Zea mays: one gene and its partners. The protein of the gene in region 3 binds, or shares a complex with, the protein of the main gene of each other region. Links are inferred from orthologs where the notes say so. Each region holds a gene or a part of one and is shown on either strand. Other genes may lie near its edges.

What was found.
Region 1: general transcription and DNA repair factor IIH subunit TFB2 (region 3) and DNA repair helicase UVH6 share a complex: the UniProt entries of both Arabidopsis thaliana proteins name them as parts of the 7-subunit TFIIH core complex. The link is inferred for Zea mays from reciprocal best matches to the Arabidopsis thaliana genes AT4G17020 and UVH6.
Region 2: general transcription and DNA repair factor IIH subunit TFB2 (region 3) and REX1 DNA Repair family protein share a complex: the UniProt entries of both Arabidopsis thaliana proteins name them as parts of the 7-subunit TFIIH core complex. The link is inferred for Zea mays from reciprocal best matches to the Arabidopsis thaliana genes AT4G17020 and AT1G12400.
Region 4: general transcription and DNA repair factor IIH subunit TFB2 (region 3) and General transcription factor IIH subunit 2-like share a complex: the UniProt entries of both Arabidopsis thaliana proteins name them as parts of the 7-subunit TFIIH core complex. The link is inferred for Zea mays from reciprocal best matches to the Arabidopsis thaliana genes AT4G17020 and GTF2H2.
Region 5: general transcription and DNA repair factor IIH subunit TFB2 (region 3) and General transcription and DNA repair factor IIH subunit TFB4-like share a complex: the UniProt entries of both Arabidopsis thaliana proteins name them as parts of the 7-subunit TFIIH core complex. The link is inferred for Zea mays from reciprocal best matches to the Arabidopsis thaliana genes AT4G17020 and AT1G18340.

The regions. Positions count from the first base shown.
Region 1 is NC_050105.1:91,196,012-91,200,534, reverse strand, and holds the start of DNA repair helicase UVH6, read right to left. Parts: upstream 3,119-4,523; 5' UTR 2,894-3,118; coding exon 2,070-2,893; intron 1,927-2,069; coding exon 1,844-1,926; intron 1,749-1,843; coding exon 1,345-1,748; intron 1,256-1,344; coding exon 1,062-1,255; intron 775-1,061; coding exon 594-774; intron 1-593. UniProt on the Arabidopsis thaliana protein: ATP-dependent 5'-3' DNA helicase, component of the general transcription and DNA repair factor IIH (TFIIH) core complex, which is involved in general and transcription-coupled nucleotide excision repair (NER) of damaged DNA and, when complexed to CDK-activating kinase (CAK), involved in transcription by RNA polymerase II.
Region 2 is NC_050101.1:47,599,243-47,602,724, forward strand, and holds REX1 DNA Repair family protein, read right to left. Parts: upstream 2,056-3,482; 5' UTR 1,870-2,055; intron 1,408-1,869; 5' UTR 1,378-1,407; coding exon 1,343-1,377; intron 1,241-1,342; coding exon 1,063-1,240; 3' UTR 824-1,062; downstream 1-823. UniProt on the Arabidopsis thaliana protein: Component of the general transcription and DNA repair factor IIH (TFIIH) core complex, which is involved in general and transcription-coupled nucleotide excision repair (NER) of damaged DNA and, when complexed to CAK, in RNA transcription by RNA polymerase II.
Region 3 is NC_050097.1:1,588,980-1,593,512, forward strand, and holds the start of general transcription and DNA repair factor IIH subunit TFB2, read right to left. Parts: upstream 2,900-4,533; 5' UTR 2,421-2,899; intron 1,940-2,420; exon of another isoform or gene 1,395-1,939; coding exon of another isoform or gene 1,319-1,394; exon of another isoform or gene 1,313-1,318; intron 1-1,312. Other genes in the region: uncharacterized protein, read left to right, coding at 1,319-1,394. UniProt on the Arabidopsis thaliana protein: Component of the general transcription and DNA repair factor IIH (TFIIH) core complex, which is involved in general and transcription-coupled nucleotide excision repair (NER) of damaged DNA and, when complexed to CAK, in RNA transcription by RNA polymerase II.
Region 4 is NC_050097.1:31,349,103-31,353,753, forward strand, and holds the start of General transcription factor IIH subunit 2-like, read left to right. Parts: upstream 1-1,639; 5' UTR 1,640-1,659; coding exon 1,660-1,980; intron 1,981-4,021; coding exon 4,022-4,483; intron 4,484-4,563; coding exon 4,564-4,651. UniProt on the Arabidopsis thaliana protein: Component of the general transcription and DNA repair factor IIH (TFIIH) core complex, which is involved in general and transcription-coupled nucleotide excision repair (NER) of damaged DNA and, when complexed to CAK, in RNA transcription by RNA polymerase II.
Region 5 is NC_050099.1:247,470,063-247,474,159, forward strand, and holds part of General transcription and DNA repair factor IIH subunit TFB4-like, read right to left. Parts: exon of another isoform or gene 2,872-4,097; intron 2,853-2,871; coding exon 2,776-2,852; intron 2,596-2,775; coding exon 2,500-2,595; intron 1-2,499. UniProt on the Arabidopsis thaliana protein: Component of the general transcription and DNA repair factor IIH (TFIIH) core complex, which is involved in general and transcription-coupled nucleotide excision repair (NER) of damaged DNA and, when complexed to CAK, in RNA transcription by RNA polymerase II.

The DNA of each region.
Region 1 (4,523 bases), on a different chromosome or scaffold from region 3:
GGAACTAATGCATATACATCTTATCTTGGCTATATAACATTTACAGGTATTTTATTTTCATAACACAGATGACTAGCATATCTTTGTGGATAACAAAAATTAGCACCAATACCGAGCATATCCTTTAGATAACAAAACCGAAGATATGGTAGATGTAGTTCTTTGTCCAAAGACTAGATAGCATCTATCTAGAACCAAAGGAAAGACTTAAAGCAGCCTATCCAGTTCCATATGCAATTATGCATGTTGCCGATGTAATAAATAATTTGACAGTGTCTACAGGAGTGAGTCTTAATGCAACTTGAGACTCTTATAGACTTATAGTCTTATTAAGTTATTATCAATATAGATAGTTGAATGGAAAATCTAAAACAGACAACAATATGGAATTAGATGCTTAGACACCATTTCATATACTTACTATAAACCGATGATGTTCCAGAGGACATGCCCAATTATCTAACAGATATGGACGATTTATGAACTTAGCTGAGTTGCATAGGTGTTACACGATTAGACACATCCCTCATTGCCATATCTATATTAATTGTAGGGTTTATATGAGAAAGAAATTTACAAGTGAAAGAAATAACCTGCAGAATTCCCATTTCGTGCCAGCTGTTGACAATGCCATCCATATAGGAATAACTGACAAAAAAGCAAACTATGCCATCTGGAACAGCAGAAGCCATTTCCAGCAAGAGGCGGCCATAATTCCTCACAACACCAGGATCACTACGCATATCGAACTTTGTACTCACAGGTAGCTGATCACTGAAGATGATGGAATGGTTGGTGTTTACACAGTGTACAATGCTACCAGTAATATGAAATGTTGGAAACAACTAAAGATGTTATAAAAGCTTAACATAAGTGTCATATGATTCTCAGGAATAAAAATGTATCATGTATACGCAAGACAGTGTTAGCATTTCCAAACCTAAGAATATGTTGACAATGCTAGCATTTAAAGACTAACATAAGTGCCATGCTTAACATAAGTGTCATGCTACAGTACAGTAGATTTTGAAATATGAAGTTCGCGTGGGACCAGCTCATACCTTCCTCGGGTCAAGACCATGGGACAAATACAATCTCTTGTTAAGGACATGGTGAAGCTTCTGCTTATGACAGGATTAAAATTCAAGAGACGAGGGTAAAGATCTATTGGGCTGAGAGTTCCAGAAGTGATCACAACCGTTTCGAAACGATCAAAAACAGGTCTTATTGCGAGTGAAGCATCATGGCAACTCAGCTGCAGAACAAATGAGTTCATTAGTAGCACACTAAAGAAGCAGAGTGTGTATACAATTTCAGCATGATCACAAAGAGTAGTCTGGGTACCTGAATAACAGGATCACGAATATCAGGCATTCTATCATCATACGGCTCTATTATAATAGAAAAGCCCCGTGTATAAGTTCCAATCAGTGTGGCAAAGTCACATATGGTCTGTATGTGCATGAACTCATCTGTATCAGTTATCTCTAATGTCATCATTAGGGAGTGTAGCCGGTCATAACAAAACCTCAGCATTTTTTGGTCGATTCCAGCCTGGGAATGGATTGAGGCAACAAAGGAAACTGGCATTTCATTCTCAACATTTTCTGTTTCAAGCCGGCCATCAAGGAATCTCACAAGCCTCCGCAAGACAGCAAGAAAATGTTCAGCCCTCCTTATGTTTCCAGGAACAGCTTCCTTCAAGATGTCATCAGGCAAAGACGGATTCGCGAGCCAAGCATCCGATACTTCATCACAAGAAGCATAATACTGTGAGCTATATGCAGAAGGCTATAGCTGACAGTGCGAAATGCAGTACTGGTGGCAAAAGGCCAGTGCTTACTTGGTAGATTTCCTCGCTGTGCCAGTCCATCCACCAGTCTGTTGTATTCAGCACGAAGCCTATTGGCATCGGTGGCCTTGAACCTTCCTACCAGATAAAGCAGTTGGCAAAGCAAGCTTAACTATCCATCACAAAGTTGAAGATGAATAGTTCTAAAGAAACAGGACCTATCGTTCAGTGGCTATTGGTGGCTGGCTTAAGTATATCCAACAATTGGGAGTGGTACCTGTCGATCTCTTGCGAGATGCGCCGCAGATTTCGCTCTGCGCCTTCCAGCGTCTGCTTGCGGATGCTGACGCTCAGCGCCTCTATGCAGACATTGTCAATGTTGTGAGCCTCATCGAACACGACCACACACTCCTTCTGCATCTCCCTGGACACAATGCTGGCCACCTTGGGGTCGAGCAGGTACTGGTAGCTGTACACCACAACATTGGCGTACTTGACCATCTGCCTGGCAAGGAAGTAAGGGCAGACCCGGCGCTCCCTTCCGAGCGCGCGGAGGTCTGCCAGGGTGTACACCCCGGGCGGCATGAAGGAGGCGAGGTCGCCGGCGGCAGCGGCCCGGTCGAACGTCTCGTAGAACTCGCACAGCGGGGTGGAGTCCGGGTCGGAGGAGGCCTTCTCGCGGACCCAGGAGGCCGTAAGGCGGCGGCAGGCGGTGTCGACGGAGTCCCGGGCGGCGGCGGCGGACGCCTGCGGGTGGATGCAGAGGTTCTTGCGGGAGGAGAGGCCGAGCGCGAGGAGGGAGCGGGAGGCCGCGGGCGGGAGGTGGGCGAAGAGGAGGCGGAGCTCGGCGAGGGTCTTCTCCATCTCGTGCACGGTGCGGGTGCAATAGATGAGGCGGAGCGGGCGGGCCGGGTTGGCGAGGGAGTAGGAGGTGATGAGGGAGATGAGCGCCGCCGTCTTGCCGGTGCCCGTGGGCATCTCGAGCAGCGCGTGCCCGCGCGCGTCGAGGGCGCGCTTGAGCTCCCCCATGTACGCGTGCTGCTCCGGGTAGATCGCCGCGTACGGGAAGTGCACGGGCAGGCCATCCAGGTCAAACCGCATTGTGGCGGAGGGGAAAGGCAACCGAGGGGCAACGCCGGAGGGGTTTGATTCGCCGGAGAGCGGAGAGGCGGAGACGGTGCTCGCGCCGCCGCCGCGGGGTGGAGATCACGTGAGGTGCTCGGTGGAATGCCCCCGTGCAGAGGAGATGCTGGTGGGCTCGTAATCGTAACGAGTATAGGCTTCTGGGTTGGGCTGGTACAGAGAACAGAGTCGGCTGCGAGCTACGGGCTACGAATGAACGATACAAAGGGTGGGAAGGCCACTCATAGCCCTCTTTGTTTCAGTTTTTTCGGTTTCTGTCCACCAAAAATTATTGTGGACGGTTAAACGCTCAACTTTTTAGCTAGCTTCTATAAAATTAATTTTGGTAAAACCATCTGAAATCAATATAAACACATAATCGGTTGAGTCGTTGCAATAATAGGAATCCGTCAATTTCTAGATCCTGAGCCCTATAGACAAATTCATCTTTCTTTGCACATAATCGCAACGATACTCAAATTCTCTACACATCCAGATTCTCCCCACATTCAGATTCTCAGAAAAGTTGAACCAAACAGGCCTTGTACCCCTAGAGTAGAATTTAAAGTACAACCTTCTGGGTTGGGCTCGTACAGAGATCTTACAATTTTTTATTGCGACGGCTCACAACAATATTGTGTCCTCCTCGGCAACACGCACGGAGAAAGGCCAAGAGCAAGACCGACACACCCCATATTCGTGTCGACGAGCGTCGGTCGGCTCGCGGCTGCAACCGTGGGCGGGGGAGCAGGTTGGGGAGGAAGAACATGGCGAAGGCCAGAAAGACGAGCGAGACTTCCGACAGCGGCGAAAACAATGGTGCGCGCATGCTATGAAACGTCCTCATGGATGTGCAATAGCCACTGCGTGGGTCGGTGTAGGGGCTGGTGTCAGACGAATATGGGGAGGAGGCGTCTGCTTCCACACCCTCCGCCGAGAATGGGGTGGCACGGAGGCGGAGGCATGAGGGGAGAGAGAAAAGAAGTAGGATGACGAACGAGGTGGTGACAACTGAGTCGAGTACTATCATTATCGTGCGAAGGTACAGATGATCAAATGTGTCGTGTCTGGTGGGCTAGTCTGAGGCACGACCCATTTAATAGTGTCTAGGCCAGCCCGACATGAGTGTTGTGCCATGCTTGGGCCGTAGCCTCGACCCGACACGATTATATATTTTTAATTTTACAAAAAAGCATATATACACATGTACAATTTATATTCAATATTGAAAACATCTGAGTATGATGTTCTACTGGTTAGACGATTTCACCTAGTGTCTCCCGCCATTCTTCCAATAGGCGTGGGTTCAAACCCCACCTTCGACACTATTTTTTAACATTTTATGCTGATTTAACCAAATGGCCCGACGGGCTAACGGGCCGGTGTGTCGTGCCTGGGCCAGAGCTGCGGTCTGCGGGCGTCGAGCCCGTGCCAGGCTGCCGTTAAGGGGACAGGCGTGCAACAGGTTAATTTGAAGTAGATGTGATGTGTTATTTGTAAAAAGATGACGCAGAACGACTGTTGAAACTCATATTTTAATATAGTAGAGATATAGAGAGAGATTTTAGTGTATTTTGGTTAGTTCTATTTGGTTTAAAGCCTTAGGTGG
Region 2 (3,482 bases), on a different chromosome or scaffold from region 3:
CTCGAGCTCGGAGCGGCTCGGCTCGCGAGCATCGAGCGGCTCGTTCCGACTCGTGAGCTGTGACAAATTACTTAACATATAGAATAATGATATAATGATGGATATTAGCTAATTTTATAGATTGTAAGTTACTTAGCGTTTTATGATAGATATATAAAAACAATAATTTAGATTACTCATAATAATGAATGATATCTATATATTTCATATTTATATACTAATAATTCACTATATAATGAAATTATATAATATCAGGGTATGGCTCGCGAGCCGCCTTTGAACCGAGCCTGTTTCTCCAGCTCGTGAAACAGACGAGCCGAACCGAGCTCGGTCGGCCACCGAGCTGCACCGCTCGGCTCGTTTCCAGCCCTAATCCTAGGGTTTGTTTGAGAGCAAGAATACTAGAAGGGCTTATAAGAGTCTAAAATTCTCATGTTATTCAATTTTGAATATCATTGCTCTCAAGCAAGCCCTTATGCAGATAATGTTCCTAGGATTACTCACCGAGGGAAAATATAGGGATCTCTAGAGGATTTGGATTTCCAAACTACCTGTTAGTGTGCCACCGTAGTTTTGTTGTCCATAGCAAGACAAAGATACATACAAATAAAGGCACAGATATACGTGACTATGGCCCTGTTCCAATCTCGCGAGATAAACTTTAGCAGCTTTTTTTAGCTACTTTTAGCCATTTATAATCTAAACAGAAGAGTTAATGGTGGTAATTGAAACTAAACTTTAGCACTTCAATTCATATAGCTAAAGTTTAGCAGGAAGCTAAAGTTTATTCCGTGAGATTGAAACGGGGTCTAAGCCCCATCTGGATCTCAAATTCTCAACGGATTTTAAGGACCTGACAAAAAGAATCCCAGAATACCACAAGTGCAGCACAGTAGCAGTGCCCTCTGCACGTTTATAGCACATAGCAGTATGATTTCAAGGCCACAGGTGGGATCTATTTGGCGTACTCGTTTCCGCTGAGGTGCTCAGCTCACAGCAGAAATAATACAGGCAACGAAAGCAAGTCCCAAGGAAGGAGTGTAGGACGCGGTAGATCCTCCACTACTGCGGCTTCTCGTAGCTGTTCTGGTCCCTGAACTCCCCGATCTTGCTCCTGATCATGTGCGCCACGTGAGGCTGCACGAACATGTTGGTAGGGTCGAGCATGTGCACGATGAACCTCTCCGACGGCGGCATCGACGCGTTCAGGTTGACGATGAACTGTGCCATAGGTACGTCGCTGAAAAATAGAGGGACGGACGGACGGCAACCATGTAAAGGCAGGGAGAGAGGGAGAAATGCAAACGAGGGATTCATTTTCAGCTGCGTCAGGAGAGCTTACCAGGAGATGAACAGCCCCTTGATCGCGTTAACCATCTTGCCTGTGCTCTGGACAGGGACAACTGCCTGGTTACATCGCCACACAGAAACAACGTCAGTTGGAGTACCAAAGAAGCAGCACCAGGACTGCAAACTTTTCGCACGAAAACGACGCGCATGAAGGTGATAGACTGGTGTCGCAGTGATTGTAGGATTGGTTGAAGGACAGAACAAAGGGTCAGCAAGATGCTCCACGTTTTCTTGCGCGCATAATCTCAGCGGATATCTTGTAATTCTCTGTGCACGCATTACACCGAACAACTACAGGGCACGGAGGGATTCAACGACAAACATAATAATCGCTTCTATTATTTTCGTAGCGGCAAGTAGGCCAATCATCAACCGAGGTCAGCTGAGTCGGAGGAAGAAGTGGCCCTCGGGGAGTTCCATGATCCGTCCCAATTCCCAACTCTCTTGCTCTCACCATGTCGATTCAGAACGGGAGGGAAAAAAACCAAACAAAAAAGTTCAGATCCGAGACGGCCTCACCGTTGCTTGGCACCGACGACGACGCTCGTCGTGGTCCCGCGTCCCTCCCGGCCGCAGGATTCAGTCCTCTCGCTTCGGATCGGATCCTCCACTCTTCGCTCGCCGGCGGCGCCGCAGCTCCTCTATCTATCGGCCTCACCTTTCCTCGCTTCTCCTTCAGCCCTCTTTGCGGCAGACGATAAAGATGCTGGGCCCGCTGGCTTCTTCGCCCGCCCACCAAACCCATGTTCACAGCCCACGGTCCGACCCATTTCTTGCAATTTGACACCGCAGTTTCCGTCCACAAAAAAAAAAAAGAACAATTAGATCTATACCATTAAAAGATCCAAACTTTAGATATATATCATGGATCACACATGTCATTGACTCATGTGGACCTATATATAAGTGAGATAGTAATGGTATGGATCCAAAGTGGTGATCTTTTAATGGTATGAATCTAAATTTCCAAAAAAAAAATTGCGTACGAATCATGGAACACCCGAGGGCCACTTCCTCCTCTCCTGACTCAGCTGACCTCGGTTGATGACTGGCCTACTTGCCCCTACGAAAATAATAGAAGCGATTATTATGTTTGTCGTTGAATCCCTCCGTACCCTGTAGTTGTTCGGTGTAATGCGTGAACAGAGAATTACAAATTTATGTCCAGCAATAGCAGAACCAAATTGTCATATGACAGTACTTAAAATTCAGTGAGGAACCACACTGTGTAACAGAATTTTGAAAAGGTGATGGTGAAAAACTTACTACAAATCTAGGATATTTTAGGTCTGCAAGGTTGCTGATTAACTAGGTACTAGGTATTCATAAATTTGATACTTAAACTGTCGTACTCATACCCAATAAATTAGATGACCTTAAATTGCGAAATTTCATGAAAAAGGAGAAAAAAATACACAAATCACTTCGCGCAGAGCTTCACACCACCACACAGCAAATCACTTGCGCATTTATTATAATTTTGGACAAGAACGTAGCTCATTTGGTGGGGAAGTAATTATCAAACAAAATAAAATTTGTGCGTGCAGCATGGACGTGGCTATATGAATGCACGGCATGTGCAGATGTGCCGCTGCCCAAGATTTGCTAATACAAGTGACCAAAGATGTGTTAGGTAGTAGTAATTGAGGAGACAAAGAGAGTGAGAGACCTGCGGCCAGCGGCCTCCAGCCTCCAGGTGAACATGACTGTGACGGTCTCAAACAATCAAACCTGAGGGGATGTGCAGTGTGCTGCACGGCTTGTAGCGGTGCAGCCCTGCACCCAGCACGCTGGAGAGCTGGTCTGCTGCCTGGCCCGCCCGCTCGAGGGAGATTGGGATTTGGGAGGACGAACGAGAGAGTCGAGTCGGCGACGATGACAGAATAGAAGCTAGTTTTCTCACTTTGCTGGTCACTTTATATATGTCGGTCATTGAGTCTTAATTCTATGGCCCGAATTCTTTAGTGCCTGTTTATATGGGCTCGTGAGGATTAGGGACGAAGAAGAGACTACCATACTCGTCCCCGCTAAACCTGATGGAGATGATTCTTTCTCATTTTAATACCTCATTGAAATAAATTGTAACTATCCCCGTCTTGTAATATCTCCGCGGGGAACGGGACTTCATTACC
Region 3 (4,533 bases):
TCATTGGGTACGAAACCCGTGGGTATCCATACCCACGGGTCCAATTGCCATCCCTAGCTGCGTTATAGCAAATAGCGATTCCCATTGCCTAGGTACAATGCCAAATAGGCTCAGTGCTCAACACTGAATAAGACGAGACGAGGAGGTGCTACAGTCTGCAAAAGGATGTCCGCCACTCTGCCCCTGCGGAGGTGAGCAGCGGCTGAATCCCTAGAACGTCGGCAGGGGAGAGATGGGCACGGCGGGTGACTGGGTCCCTCACGCAGCAGTGGATGAGGAGCAGAAGACGGGGCACAGAGCAGCGGGGGATAGTGTGGCGGTGGCAGCGCAAAGCGAGGCGAGGCAGACAGCTAGAGTCAAGGCCTCGCGGTCGCGGGTGTTGAATCTTCATTTCACGCCCGGAGATAGCAGCAGTGGGACCAGGAAGGACGATGGCAGCGCTTGCGGCTGGGTAGGATGGCGTCGTCGCGACTGGAAAGGGGAGCGGCGGGGCGACACGAGGGACAGGGGAGGAGGAGGAGGGTGCGGGCCGTGATGGCAACAGGAAAGCGGGATGAATGAATGGACAAGCGGACGAAGAACACATGACAAAATGAGAATGGTTGGATGGAGATGAACTAGCTCTGCCAAACCCCGATAGGAGGAGAGACTTCCCACGATAAGGAGAAAAGTGGATTTATGCCATTATAAAACTTAGGATTCGCTCAAATGCCATTATGGGAACACGCTTCGCTAAGAGACCATTATCAAACGTTGTCTTACAGACAAAATGCCATTTGGGGGGTTATTTGAAACTTAACCTTATTTGATTATATTGGCAGCTAGTGGCCGGACACTTTTGCCCCTATCAAATCTGTTCGCCGTTCTCCCTCCCCCGACAAATTCAGAACACAGTCGGCAGTCGCTAACACGCGATGGGATACGGCGAACACCGAGCAGCAGGTCTCTAAACTAAAACTTTGGCAGCACTCTTAACCAGTCAACAACAGATCACCAACCATTCGATTTCACACAAATGTAATCCTACTGCAAGTGCAACAGCCACCTTTAGAGGCGTTCATTAGCAAACGCTAGAAAAACTGCAAATGGCCATATTCATATCGAACCAATATGCATAGTTGAATCACGTAAGAAGCAGACCAGACCAATATGCCACTAGTTGAAGAAACAATCAAATCGAACCAGTGGAGATCTTTATAAATTAATTCGAGATAATAACTAGGCAAACCAATTCTATATCATAGTTTCATTCAATAGGATGGGATAGCAGGCGATTCGAGCTGTTGATTGGGAATCTAACCGAGCTGCTCACCTGCAGATTGGAATTGGATCGATGGATGGACCGCGGACGCCCGCACGCCGATTGGATCTCCTCCTCCTTGGGCGGCTGCTAACTGGGTTGGGATGGGACAGGAGCCTTCCTCGCCACAGCTGCCGTGCCGTGCTGCTCCTCTTCTCCGAGACGCTGGGACCCCGATTAGAGACGTCTGGAAGACGGGAGGCGGAGAGGTATGACGTGACGGAGTTTCGTCGTCTAACTCCACCGGCGCGCTGAACCTTCAGCTCGGCCTGCAGGAGGACGCTGGGAGCTTCGGCTGCGTCGGGGCAGGAGCCGGTCGTTAGGCCGAGTAAGCGGGTGCGGTCCGGATCACCGGGGGCGCTGGGGGAGGGCCGGGCGGCGGTGGGACTGCCAACGGAGGCGCGAGCTACCCGATGTGCCAGATGGATGACTGCCGAGCGGATCTGACCAGCCGCCAGCGCCCGCCGGTGGAGCTCGCCGAGCGTCTGTGGACCACCGCTGGTGGAGGGAGAGCGCCGAGCACCGGTGGAGGAGAGCGACGTCGTCGTCGGTTTTGGTGGAGGGGACACAGAGGATAGAGAAGAGAGCGCCGTCGGGTTTGAGATGCAGGCGCTTTTAGTTCGAAGGGCAAAAGTGTCCGGTTACTGCGGTTACTGGCTGCCAATATAATTAAATAAGGTTAAGTTTTAAATAACCTTTAAATGATATTTTATTTGTAAGACAACGTTTGATAATGGTTTTTTAGCTAAACGTGTTTCTATAATAGTATTTGAGCGAATCTTAAGTTTTACAATAATGACATAAATTCAATTTTCTCCGCGATAAGACGCGATAAGATACAGGAACTATGGTGCTCAAGGCTCACTATAAACTACAAGAACAGACACTCATTGTGCTTAGTCTAAGAGCCTGAAATTATAACGACAAACACCGATATCTAGTGAACAACAAACAAAGAAAACTAGTGAAGAACAAACAAATTTACTCTTGTACAGTATACAGTGACCAGCTGCCCCAGAGGCTATAAGCAAGCATACTGATATTGCCATCTAGACTTTAACTGGCTGCGGTCCAACAAGCACAAAAGAAAAGTAGGCTACTAAAGAATCAGATCAAATACCTGTTATAAGAGAAACTGAGAACCTGCAGTCTGCAGAGAAGCCAGGTCTGGCTGAGTGAGTGGGTTGCAGCCGGGGCCGGACAGAGGCTCGACGCGCGCGAGCCGGGGCGGGGCTCGACGCCTGGTGGACTGCGGGCGGGCGGCGGGCGGGGCGCAGCCGCTCGGGGCGGAGATGGAGGCGGGCGGCGCTGACGGTGGCCTAGGCCCTGGGCGGCTGGGCGATATCCTGCTCCTCGAGGCGAAGTAATTATTTTAGGGTGTGTCTGGTATATGACTCTGTTTTATTTTAGAGCAGCTTTATTTAAAAAAACTCTAGATATATTAGTTTTGTATCATAATTTAGATTGTTTTATCATGGCTAGTGGCAGTGATAGGTACTCTAAAAATTGTTTAGATTGTTTTTTAGAGATTTTGAGTAGTAAAATAGGTACTTTAAAAAATTGTACTATAGTTTTTAAAACTCTACGTAGTTTGCAACTCTGAAGCTAGAGTGTTTGACAGACGTTGGTCGGTTTCTCAATAAAGTTTTGCTCTAGAACTATGTCAAACACGTACTTAGTCACTTAGGAGTTAGAGATCTAAACATAATGAGCTAAAAGTGACTAAAGGCATGTTTGTAAGCAACCTAACTTTTAAGATTCTAGTTTTTAGAAACCTGGTTTAAAAGCACTAGATAGTAGTGTTTGAAACCACATCAGTTCTTATAAACTGCCTTTAGCTAGGGGAGACTAGCTTCTTAGTTTTAAGAAACTGAGAATCCAACTTTTATAAATTATAAAAAAAAACTAGTATGTTTGGAACCACCTCGATTTCATAGACCAATTTTTAAAAAAAACGAGTGTTTCCAAATAGGTCTTAAATATAGTCACTTTTAGCTCTTCATATTTAAATGTTTAACTCCTAAATGATTAAAAATAGTCATCTTTAAAGTTTAACTCATAAATGATTAAAATTAGTCAATTTTTTGCTTTAGCTCGTGAGATCCAAATAAACCCTTAGATCTGCCCCTAGTTGAAGAGACTGGTTTTTTTGGTTGACCATGGTCCTTGAACAGTTTGGCATTGCGAGGAGGCTCAATGTTGAGTTGAAAGACAAACATCTTTTTTCTATTTGTCGGTCAATAGAGTGGGTTAACGTGTATCTACAAATATGTTGAAAGTCGCCTAGAGGGGGTGAATAGGTGAAACCTGAAATTTATAAACTTAAACTTGCACTAAGGTCGGGGTTAGCATTAGAATTAAATTGGAATTCGAAAGATAGCTCTCCTGACTTAGAGTTGCTCAATCAATGCGAATGACGTTTGGGAGCAAACTCAAATCAATATGAACAAGGGAACTTTAGAGAGAGGAAACAGGGGAACAAATCAAATGAGAATCAATGCAAGTGGACACGATGATTTGTTTACCGAGGTTCGGTTCCAAAGAACCTAGTGCCCGTTGAGGAGGCCACAAAGGCCGGGTCTATTCCAACCCTTTCCCCTCTCAATCGGTCACATAGACCGGTCGAGCCTTCTCTTTAATCAGTTGGTTCACTAAGACCCCGCAAGGATCACAACACACTTAGGTGTCTCTTGCTAACTTTACAAAGCACTTATGAGAATAAGAATAGAGAAGGAGAAAGCAATCCAAGCAACAAGAGAACACAAATATTTCTCTCACAAGTCTCTTAAGCACTAGAGTTGATTTTAGGAGCTTGGAGTGGATTGAATGTTTTGAATGCGTCTTGGAGTGTTTGGCTTTGCTCTTGCAATGAATGTAGAGTTCAGAAAACTTGGATGCCATTTAAGGAGGTGGTTGGGGGTATTTATAGCCTCCAACCACTTCCTAGTCGTTGGTTGTTTTTGCTGGCGATGGGCACACCAGACAGTCCGGTGGTGCACCGGACAGGTACTGTTCACTGTCCGGTGTGTGCCACGTCAGCACGACCGTTGGGGTTTGGAGCGATTTGACCGTTGGAATGGCTGCACCGGATATGTCTGGTGGTACACCGGACATGTCCAGTGTGTTTGACTCGCTGCTCTGACTTCTGACTTCCATTGTTCCCTTTTTGCAGTCGACCGTTGGCGCCAGGTTACTGTTGCTCTGTTGGCTCACCGGACATGTTCGGTGCACAC
Region 4 (4,651 bases), about 30 Mb from region 3:
CTGATGATCATTATATCCTAAGGGAGATAATGCTTCGAAGGACGAAGGTCTTTGACTATTAACGTTTTGTGTTGTCTTGTTCTTAACTCATAGCATTTGAGAACAAGTGACCAACAACCCCCCTCTAGGCGACTTTCAAAAATCGTCACACATCTCTTTTCTAAATTTACGCGCGTGTAGAGTAACGTGTTTGACTCATGTATGCCTTCCTTATTTTTTTTGCGCGCACAGATGTGGGGTTGGGGGGGGTGCACCCAACAGCCTGCTTAGGGTGTGGGTGGACGCGCTGGCCTGGACAAGTCACATAGGTGGTCGGGCGGGGCTTGCTCTAACTATTTGAAGCTCATGACTTCTAATATACCGACCTTATATATACACACACTAGCCAATTGCTCGTGTTTTGCTACGGTTGTTATTTACCTTATAAATAAGTATTGATATATGTATTCAAATATAATTATTGTTTATTTGTAAATATTAAGATACGCGTGGTCTGGTGGTTAGCCCCAAATTTCTGGAATAGAGAGGCATGGATTCGAGTGATCGTTTTGCACTATTTTTTGCACGTGGGGCCCACAGAGCACGACACCGAGGTAGGGCACGTGGGACGGGGCTAGAGTGTGAGCGCAGAGGGTGCCCACACTAGCACGCTAGTCGCACGTCAGCCACTATTCTCCATGAATCATGAAGGGAAACATGGACCTAAGGCTATCTGCAGCGGTCTTCTCTAAATTTCTCTCCATATATCACTTTTTTTTGTTACATCTTCAATATTTCAGCCCTTTAACTTTTCATCTCCCGCAGCGGTCTCTCCTATTTTCTCCCCTTGTAACTCACTACAACCATAAAATATTATTTCATATATTATTTTTTATCCACTATTAATTTTTCTTATATTAACAATTAGAGCCGAATCCAGATTACAGTAAAATAGAGAAGACGAGCGCACGCTACATTCAGTGGAAAAGAGAAGAGGACGGCACGCCCTTGCATCGTGGGAGGCACCGTAGACGTAGGGGCAGCGCTGCGGACTGCCGTGCGCCGTCATGTGTAAGGGGATGGGGCGCGACGCCCGGCAGCCGCTGCAGTTAGCCTAAAGTCGGCCTACACGTCTCCTCAACTTCAGCCGCCTGCTCAGTTGACAAGTTCAGAGCACTGTTTAAGTACTTTGTTGCTGAGCTGACGGAAGGAAGCAGAAATCAGATAACCACTGACTGGCAAATGTCGTCTGATGGTTGGTAGCACATGTTTCGTTGACCCATTTTCCATCAAGGATGGCATAGAGAGAAAAAAAACGAAGTGTAAACTCTTGAAGTCAGCACCACTTGCATTCTTATGTTTTGGTTGCTGTGTTCTAAACTATCTATTCAGATGTCTCCTGTATACATTTTCTTTACTCTGATATACCGGTATTTCTATATTCCGCTGCTTTTTTTTTTTTGCATTCCTCTATTTTGAATGCTCCTGTATCAAACAGATGCTTAGAAAATTGGTAAAAGGGGCTTAAGGCTCCTGTAAACCAAACCAAAAGCCCAGGAGCCCCAAACTGGAGGCACCAAGCACCCGCCTGGCCCATGTGCTGGTCCCCGAATCCCGACCTCGCCTCCAGTTCCACTCTTCCGGCGGCGTCGGCGGCCGCCCCTTCCCCACGCCCACACCATGTACGGCGTCGGCGGCGGCTTCAACGCGCCCTCCACCGCTGCCTCTCGGCGCCGCAACCCAGGCGACGAAGAGGAGGACGAGGAGGATGAGGGCGGTGAGGGCCGCGTCCTGGAGGCGTGGGAGCGCGCGTACGCGGACGAACGGTCGTGGGAGTCACTGCAGGAGGATGAGTCGGGCCTCCTCCGTCCCGTCGACACCAAGACCCTCGTCCACGCGCAGTACCGCCGGCGCCTCCTACTCCGGTCTGCCGCCGCCGCCGCTGCCCGCATCCAAAAGGGGCTCATCCGCTACCTCTACATCGTCATAGACCTCTCCCGGGTTCGTTCCCTTTGCTTCATGTTCTCTTTCGTTCGGCTTGCCACATCATCAAGCACCTGGCGAGCATATTTTTCTTCGAAGTCGGTTTGGTTGTTTTGGACCCGACAGACTGGTACAAATGCCGATCGTGCTAACTTGACACCGGCTTGTGATTGCGATCTCTTGTTCCGAGAGAGATGTGGCATTGCTTACGGCCTTACTTATGGGCTACACATTTGGTTCTTAAGTGTTCACTTACTTAAGGCATGAACGGAGCAGTGAATACTAGGACTGCCTTTTGCTAGTTTCGTATACCTGTAGGTTCATCTATAAGCTTGTGAAATGTTGTGAAGATGGTGCGGTGATGCCTGTCTGTGAGTAATCCTGGTTTATTTGTTTGTAGAGCGATGTAGGTGATATGATCTGATTGGTTGCCTTTAATGCCGTTTGTTTAGCCCCAAGCTGTGACCATTATCTTATTTGGCTTGTACATTCAGAGGGTGATGCTGTAATTGGAAGACACGAGGCCAATTTTAGAATCTAATGCTGATTTAGCAACTTTAAGATTGAGTCTTTGAGAGATCAATCATTTTATGTGAGGAAACAGTTTGTTAGATGGGTAAAAACGGTATTTTGGAAATTCTAAGATCTACCATGGTTTGTATCCATGGCCCATTGGCCAGGGCATAGGTATGGAGAACTCGAGACCTAATTCTCCACTAAATCCAGAAACCAATGCTACCTTAAGGTTATACGGTAAGAATTTCTGTACTGCAGAATAATAGACTCATGTCTATGAATCATGAAGGGAAACATGAACCCAGGTATTTGCAAATTGCAATTGTTAGTATTGCTGTTGGCAGCAATATTTTGTTTGGAGTTCAAGCCTACCACAACCAAGCAGTCCAAGTTCAATTTTATATGTGTGCACACCAATTGGATTGCTGAAACAAAATGTTGATGACACAATACTTGTTTGGAATTTTCATATATTGAGATTGGATTATCGTTTCATTTTATGCATGAGGTTCTTATCGGATGAATCCTGTTAAATTCTGAAATGTTTTAACTTTTAAGCATACTTTCTGATCTGGATACACTATGTATATTTGATATATGTCGGATAGAGTGAATGTCTCATGTCTCCCTCATCAAACAGACTATTTTTTTTTTCATCAGTTTGAAGGTGTTCCTGGGGAGGGTTATTGCTATTGCTGCCTGGATATGTCTGAAGATGCTTTTTTAATTGTTTCCCCACATCTGGGAAGTTAATTCTCTCTGTCAATCCTTGTATAGATTTCTGTAGAGAAGCAAATCACGTGCCATATGGTTTTGTTTTTACCATTGGCATGGCTTGCTCCAACAAAATCCTGACATCACAAGAAGTGCATGAACTATGGTTGCAGGAAAAGGTCTTTAACAATTACCACATAGTTGATCTATGGAACACTTCTATATGTAGACACAAAATATAGACTACTCTTGGAATTTAAAAATAAAAGGATGTTTTCATTTTTTTTGGTATTGATCCAGACCCTATGGATTTGCACAAATGAACAGTTAATCTTCACTGATGAATTAGGTAGATATGGAATTATTTGATACATGTTCATTTGACTTATGGTAACATTATTCCAGGACTTACTGCAAAGAGTCATCAGGATGTGATAATTTATTTTTGTTGTTAAAAATGTGCAAAGAATAATGTCTATTCAGCTGATTGTATATTTTATAATGTCAATTGAGATTTGAGAATGAAACAATCAAACACTGCTTTAACTAACATGGATTTTTTTTCTGATATGACAAAGCATACATTTTGATTTTTGTATTGTTTCGAAACTGCACATTTCTCGTAAAAAATATCTCTCTAACATCCTTGTCAATTGTTTTTTTCTCTGGTAATTTTATAACCTTATCTTTGAGCATGCATACATGTTTCAAGTTTATAAGATTGGCTTCCTCAGTTGTTTTTGTGGCAGCGAAGAATTGTTCTACTTCAAATAATCATTACACGCTCTTTGCACCTTTGCGTTCTCAAAATTGTTTTTTACTCATGTAGGCGGCTTCAGAGATGGATTATCGTCCTAGTCGAATGGCTGTTGTTGCAAAACATGCTGAGGCTTTCATAAGAGAATTCTTTGACCAGAATCCATTGAGCCATGTTGGCCTAGTGACAATTAAAGATGGTATTGCCCATCGACTTACAGAAATCGGAGGGAGCCCAGAGTCACAGATTAAGGCTTTGATGGGGAAGCTTGAGTGTTCTGGTGATTCATCCCTGCAGAATGCTCTAGACCTCGTACATGGTTATTTAGATCAAGTACCATCATATGGTCACAAGGAAGTTCTGATTTTATACTCTGCCCTGAATACATTTGATCCTGGTGATATCACGGAGACAATAGCAAAGTGTAAGAAGTCAAAAATTAGATGCTCTGTTATTGGTCTTGCTGCAGAGATCTTCATTTGCAAACATCTATGTGAAGAGACTGGTGGATCTTACACAGTTGCACTGGATGAGGTGCTAAGATGTAATTTTGATTTTACCTTTGATTATTCGATCGTTATGAAAGATTAACGGCATTTCCTTTCTTTTTACAGTCTCATTTCAAAGAGTTGTTACTGGAACATGCTCCCCCACCTCCTGCAATAGCAGAATATGCTGCAGCTAATTTGATTAAGATGGGCT
Region 5 (4,097 bases), on a different chromosome or scaffold from region 3:
AGCGGTAGACGACGGGCTCTCGCTTGGCGGCCCAGGAGACGAGATTGGCGCCCAGGAACATGGTGTAACCAGAAGTGGACTGGCGCGTGTTGGGACAGCCAGCCCAATCAGCGTCGGTGTAGACCACGAGCTCCAAAGTTGGGGAGGGTCGAAGTAGAAGGTCGTAGTCGAGGGAGACACGGAGATAACGCAGGATCCGCTTGAGAGTGGTGAGATGCGGCTCTTGTGGGGTGTGCATGTGCAGGCACACCTGCTGAACGTCATAGGCGATGTCGGGCCTAGAGAAGGTCATGTACTGGAGGGCTCCGGTCAGGCTTCGGTAGGACGTCGCGTCGGCGACTGGAGGCCCGTCAGTGTCGACAGGCGTGGAGCAGGGCTTGCAGCCGGACATGCCAACCCGCTCCAGGATGTCGATGGTGTACTGCGCTGGTGGAGGAAGAGACCCTTAGGCCGGCGCTCGGCGGTGATGCCGAGGAAGTGGTGAAAAGGCCCCAGATCTTTAATCGCGAACTCTAGCTGAAGGGCGTCGATCATGCGTTGTAAAAGGTCGGCGATGGATGTCGTGAGCACAATGTCGTCGACGTAGAGCAGGAGGTAGACGATGTCGTCCACGCCGGTAGATGAACAAGGACGTGTCCGACTTGGCCTCGCCGAAGCCGATGGAGGCCAAGTAGGAAGCGAAGCGACTGTACCATGCCCACGACGTCTGTTTGAGGTCGTACAGGGAGCGGTTCAGCCGGCAAACCAGATCTGAACAAGCGGAGTCAACGAAGCCGGTGGGTTGGCTGTAGTAGACAGTCTCCGTCAGAGTGTCGTGGAGGAAGGCATTCTTGACATCGAGCTGATGAATCGCGCAGTCCCAGGAGCAGGCGAGGGTGAGAACGATCCGAACGGTCGCGAACTTGATGACGGGGCTGAAGGTCTCGTCGTAGTCGACTTCGGTGCGCTGGGTGAAGCCCCGAAGGACCCAACGGGGCTTGTAGTGGTCGAGAGAGCCATCCAAGGTCAGCTTGTGGCGAAAAATCCACTTGCTGGTGACCACGTTGGTGCCTGGTAGATGCGAGACCGGGTCCCAGGTGTGGTTGGCCAACAGGGCCGTGTACTCCTCCATAGCTAGAGATGGCAATGGGTACCCGTAAACCACGACGGGTTTTACCAGATATGTTGGCAGGTATGGGATGGTTTCTCTGCACGTGGGTACATTAGTGGGTAATAATCTCTACTCGTTGGGTAGACGGGTACGAGTATGGGTGCGTACTACCCATACCCATGTAACCGTGGGTAAAATATACCCGCATCATACTATTATTGTCAATAATAAAGCATATCTTAGCTAAAAGAAAATCATTCTCCAGATATTATTTGTTTAACTATTAATTTATGTAATCACATGGTTTGATATATTTTAAGATACTTATATTTGTGTCTTTATTTAACATTCTAAGTGATAAGAATATTAGAATGAGACCTTCCGCGGGTACGGGTTACCTGACGGGTAAAATTACCCGCGCGGGTACGAGTATGGGTAAGATTCTATGCCCGCGAGTGTATATGGGTAACCCGACGGGTATAATTTTTATTGATGGGTATGGGTATCGAATGGTACTACCCGATGGGTATATACCCGTTGACATCCCTATCCATGGCGCGACAATAGTGGGGGTCGGCGAGGGCGGCGCGAACGGAGGAGGGGACTGAGGAGGAGTCCGGAGGAGCGTTAGCCGTCAGGATCAACCGATCGACGGCGCGGAGAACGCCGGTTGCGTGACGAGTCACCATCGGGTGGACGTGCCCGGGGTGGCAGTGGATGGCGACCGGATGGTACACGGGAGGCTCGGTGGGGGCAAGCGGGTCGTCAGGAGCGGAGGAAGGGGCCATCTCGCAGCGGTGGTAGACGAGGGCGGGTCGTTGAAGCGAGTCGCGCTCGTCAACGGTGCTGGTTCGACGGGGGCTAAGAGAGTGGCCTGCCCATGGCGGTGGTAGACGAGAGCGGGGTCGACGAAGCGGGCGCGCTCTTCGATGGGGCCGCGCGTGGCGCTGGCGAGGTCAACGAGGCCGCACGTGGCGTAGGCGGGGCCGCGCGTGGCGTTGGAAGAGACGCGAGCGAGGGCGTCGAGGTCGCGCGTGGCGCGGGTAACGGCGCGAGGCAAGGCGTCTAGGCCGCACATGGGGCGGGTAGAGGCGCGAGCGTTGGCGTCTGAGCCTACGGAAAAGCAGGCAAGAGCAACTGGGGTGGAGGGGGAACCAGATCGGACTCAAGGAGAGAGAAGTGGAAAAAGAAACCTAGCTCTATACCATATGGGAAACCCTAATCCTAACTCAGGGTTAGGTGATGTATTAATGGACCAAGGTTATTGGGCCTGGCCCATTACACAAGGGTGTGACGGTAATTACAAGGGACTAACCCCAAAACCCTAAACGGGTACTCTAATAGGAACAAATAAAGGTACCAAAAAAGACTCTCATCAGACAGGAAACACACTTGAACATAAAACTTACCCGCAGGTTGAACACTTCTTCTGATTCTTGCAGAATATTGACAAACAAATTGAACAGACATATCCCATGTCAATAGTCTTCTTATGGCAGAAACACCTGCAAATCAGTAAAACAATGCTGAGTGCATTGATGTGCCACCAATACTAGACACGGAAAGAAATAAAACAGAACTAGAGTTGCTAATGTGGACCAGCCTTTGACCTGATTGTAAAATTACAGAAAAAGAAAAGGAAGATAAGTCTAGTCTAGTGTTGATGGTTAATAGAGGAAACGTACGAAGCACGGAAGTCCACTCCAAGAGTTTTTGGAAGGCGCAGAAAAGCTCTAGAGTGTAAATCAGTTGCAAATACAGCCTACATTATTGTTGAAATGTGTCAATGAGCTCGAGGAACTAAAAGAGAAATAAATTATTTCAAATAATCAAATAAGCCCACACAAAGTTATGTATACAAACAAAAGAAGATGGTATCAAAATAATATGGTATTCAAATAACAAATTTCGCTAGTAAGACACCGTATTGCCATACTAAAGTGAAGAAAGTCATCTGCACAACAACTAGATCTTGGTTCCGTCAATCAGACATGGCTAATCTCTTAGACATATGTAAAAATAAAAAGAAGTGACTAAGATATAATCTGATTAATGTTTGCAGCACTTATTGTGAAACAACAAACAAGAACAAAGATCTGAACTGCAAAGGATACAGAAGTGACCAATAAACTTCTACAGCTCTTAGTCTAATTCACAGTTCAGGAAAGCACAAAAGGCAAAAGATCTCAGATTTATTAATTATAATAGCAAACCAAACATGAGGAAAATAAATGCAAATAAAATTTTCAATTGGTATGATAACAAAATGGTAATAATGTCATCACGTTTTAGAGGGTAGTAGATTTAGTGTGATCGAAGTTCTAGGATAATCCCTTTCGCTATTGTGTGAAAATATAGAGCACAATACAACTATAAAATATATTATTCTATCAAAAAGACCATAAAAATAATAATATCATAATAATAAGTACTAGGTATATGTCTGTGCGTTGCCACGAGGCGGGTAGCGTGGGGGCGGCGCCTAGGCTGTAAATATAATTATTGTTTATTTCTAAACACTAAAATACATGTAGTCTGGTGGTTAGCCCCAAATTATTAGAGCAGAGGGGTGTGGGTTCGAGTGCTTGCTTTGCACTATTTTTTACGGGTGCTGGGTGTGGGGAGTGTGAAGCCATGGTAGTATAGGTGCCAACATTAGCTTCTTAATAGATTAGTATAGAAGTATAGATATAGATTCCCGTATCATCATCTGCCATCTTGTGACTCCTAGTCCTAGGAAATAAAAGAACTAAGGCCTAGAGCCTAGCGGTGTGGAGTCCTTTTACCTGTCATCCCATCACTGCCTGATTTAAGGTCAGGGCCTAGGATTTAAAAACACATCTTAGGTTTGCTGATAACTTCACATCACTTTACTTTGGCGAAGGATGAAACAGAACATCACACTTTTGTTAATGTAGCGGTTGAGAGAACCCATTCCTTGTTGTCATGATCCCTCTTATGAGGGAAAAGTTTGGTAGGAAGGCTTCCGTAGTTTACCAACTAAGGG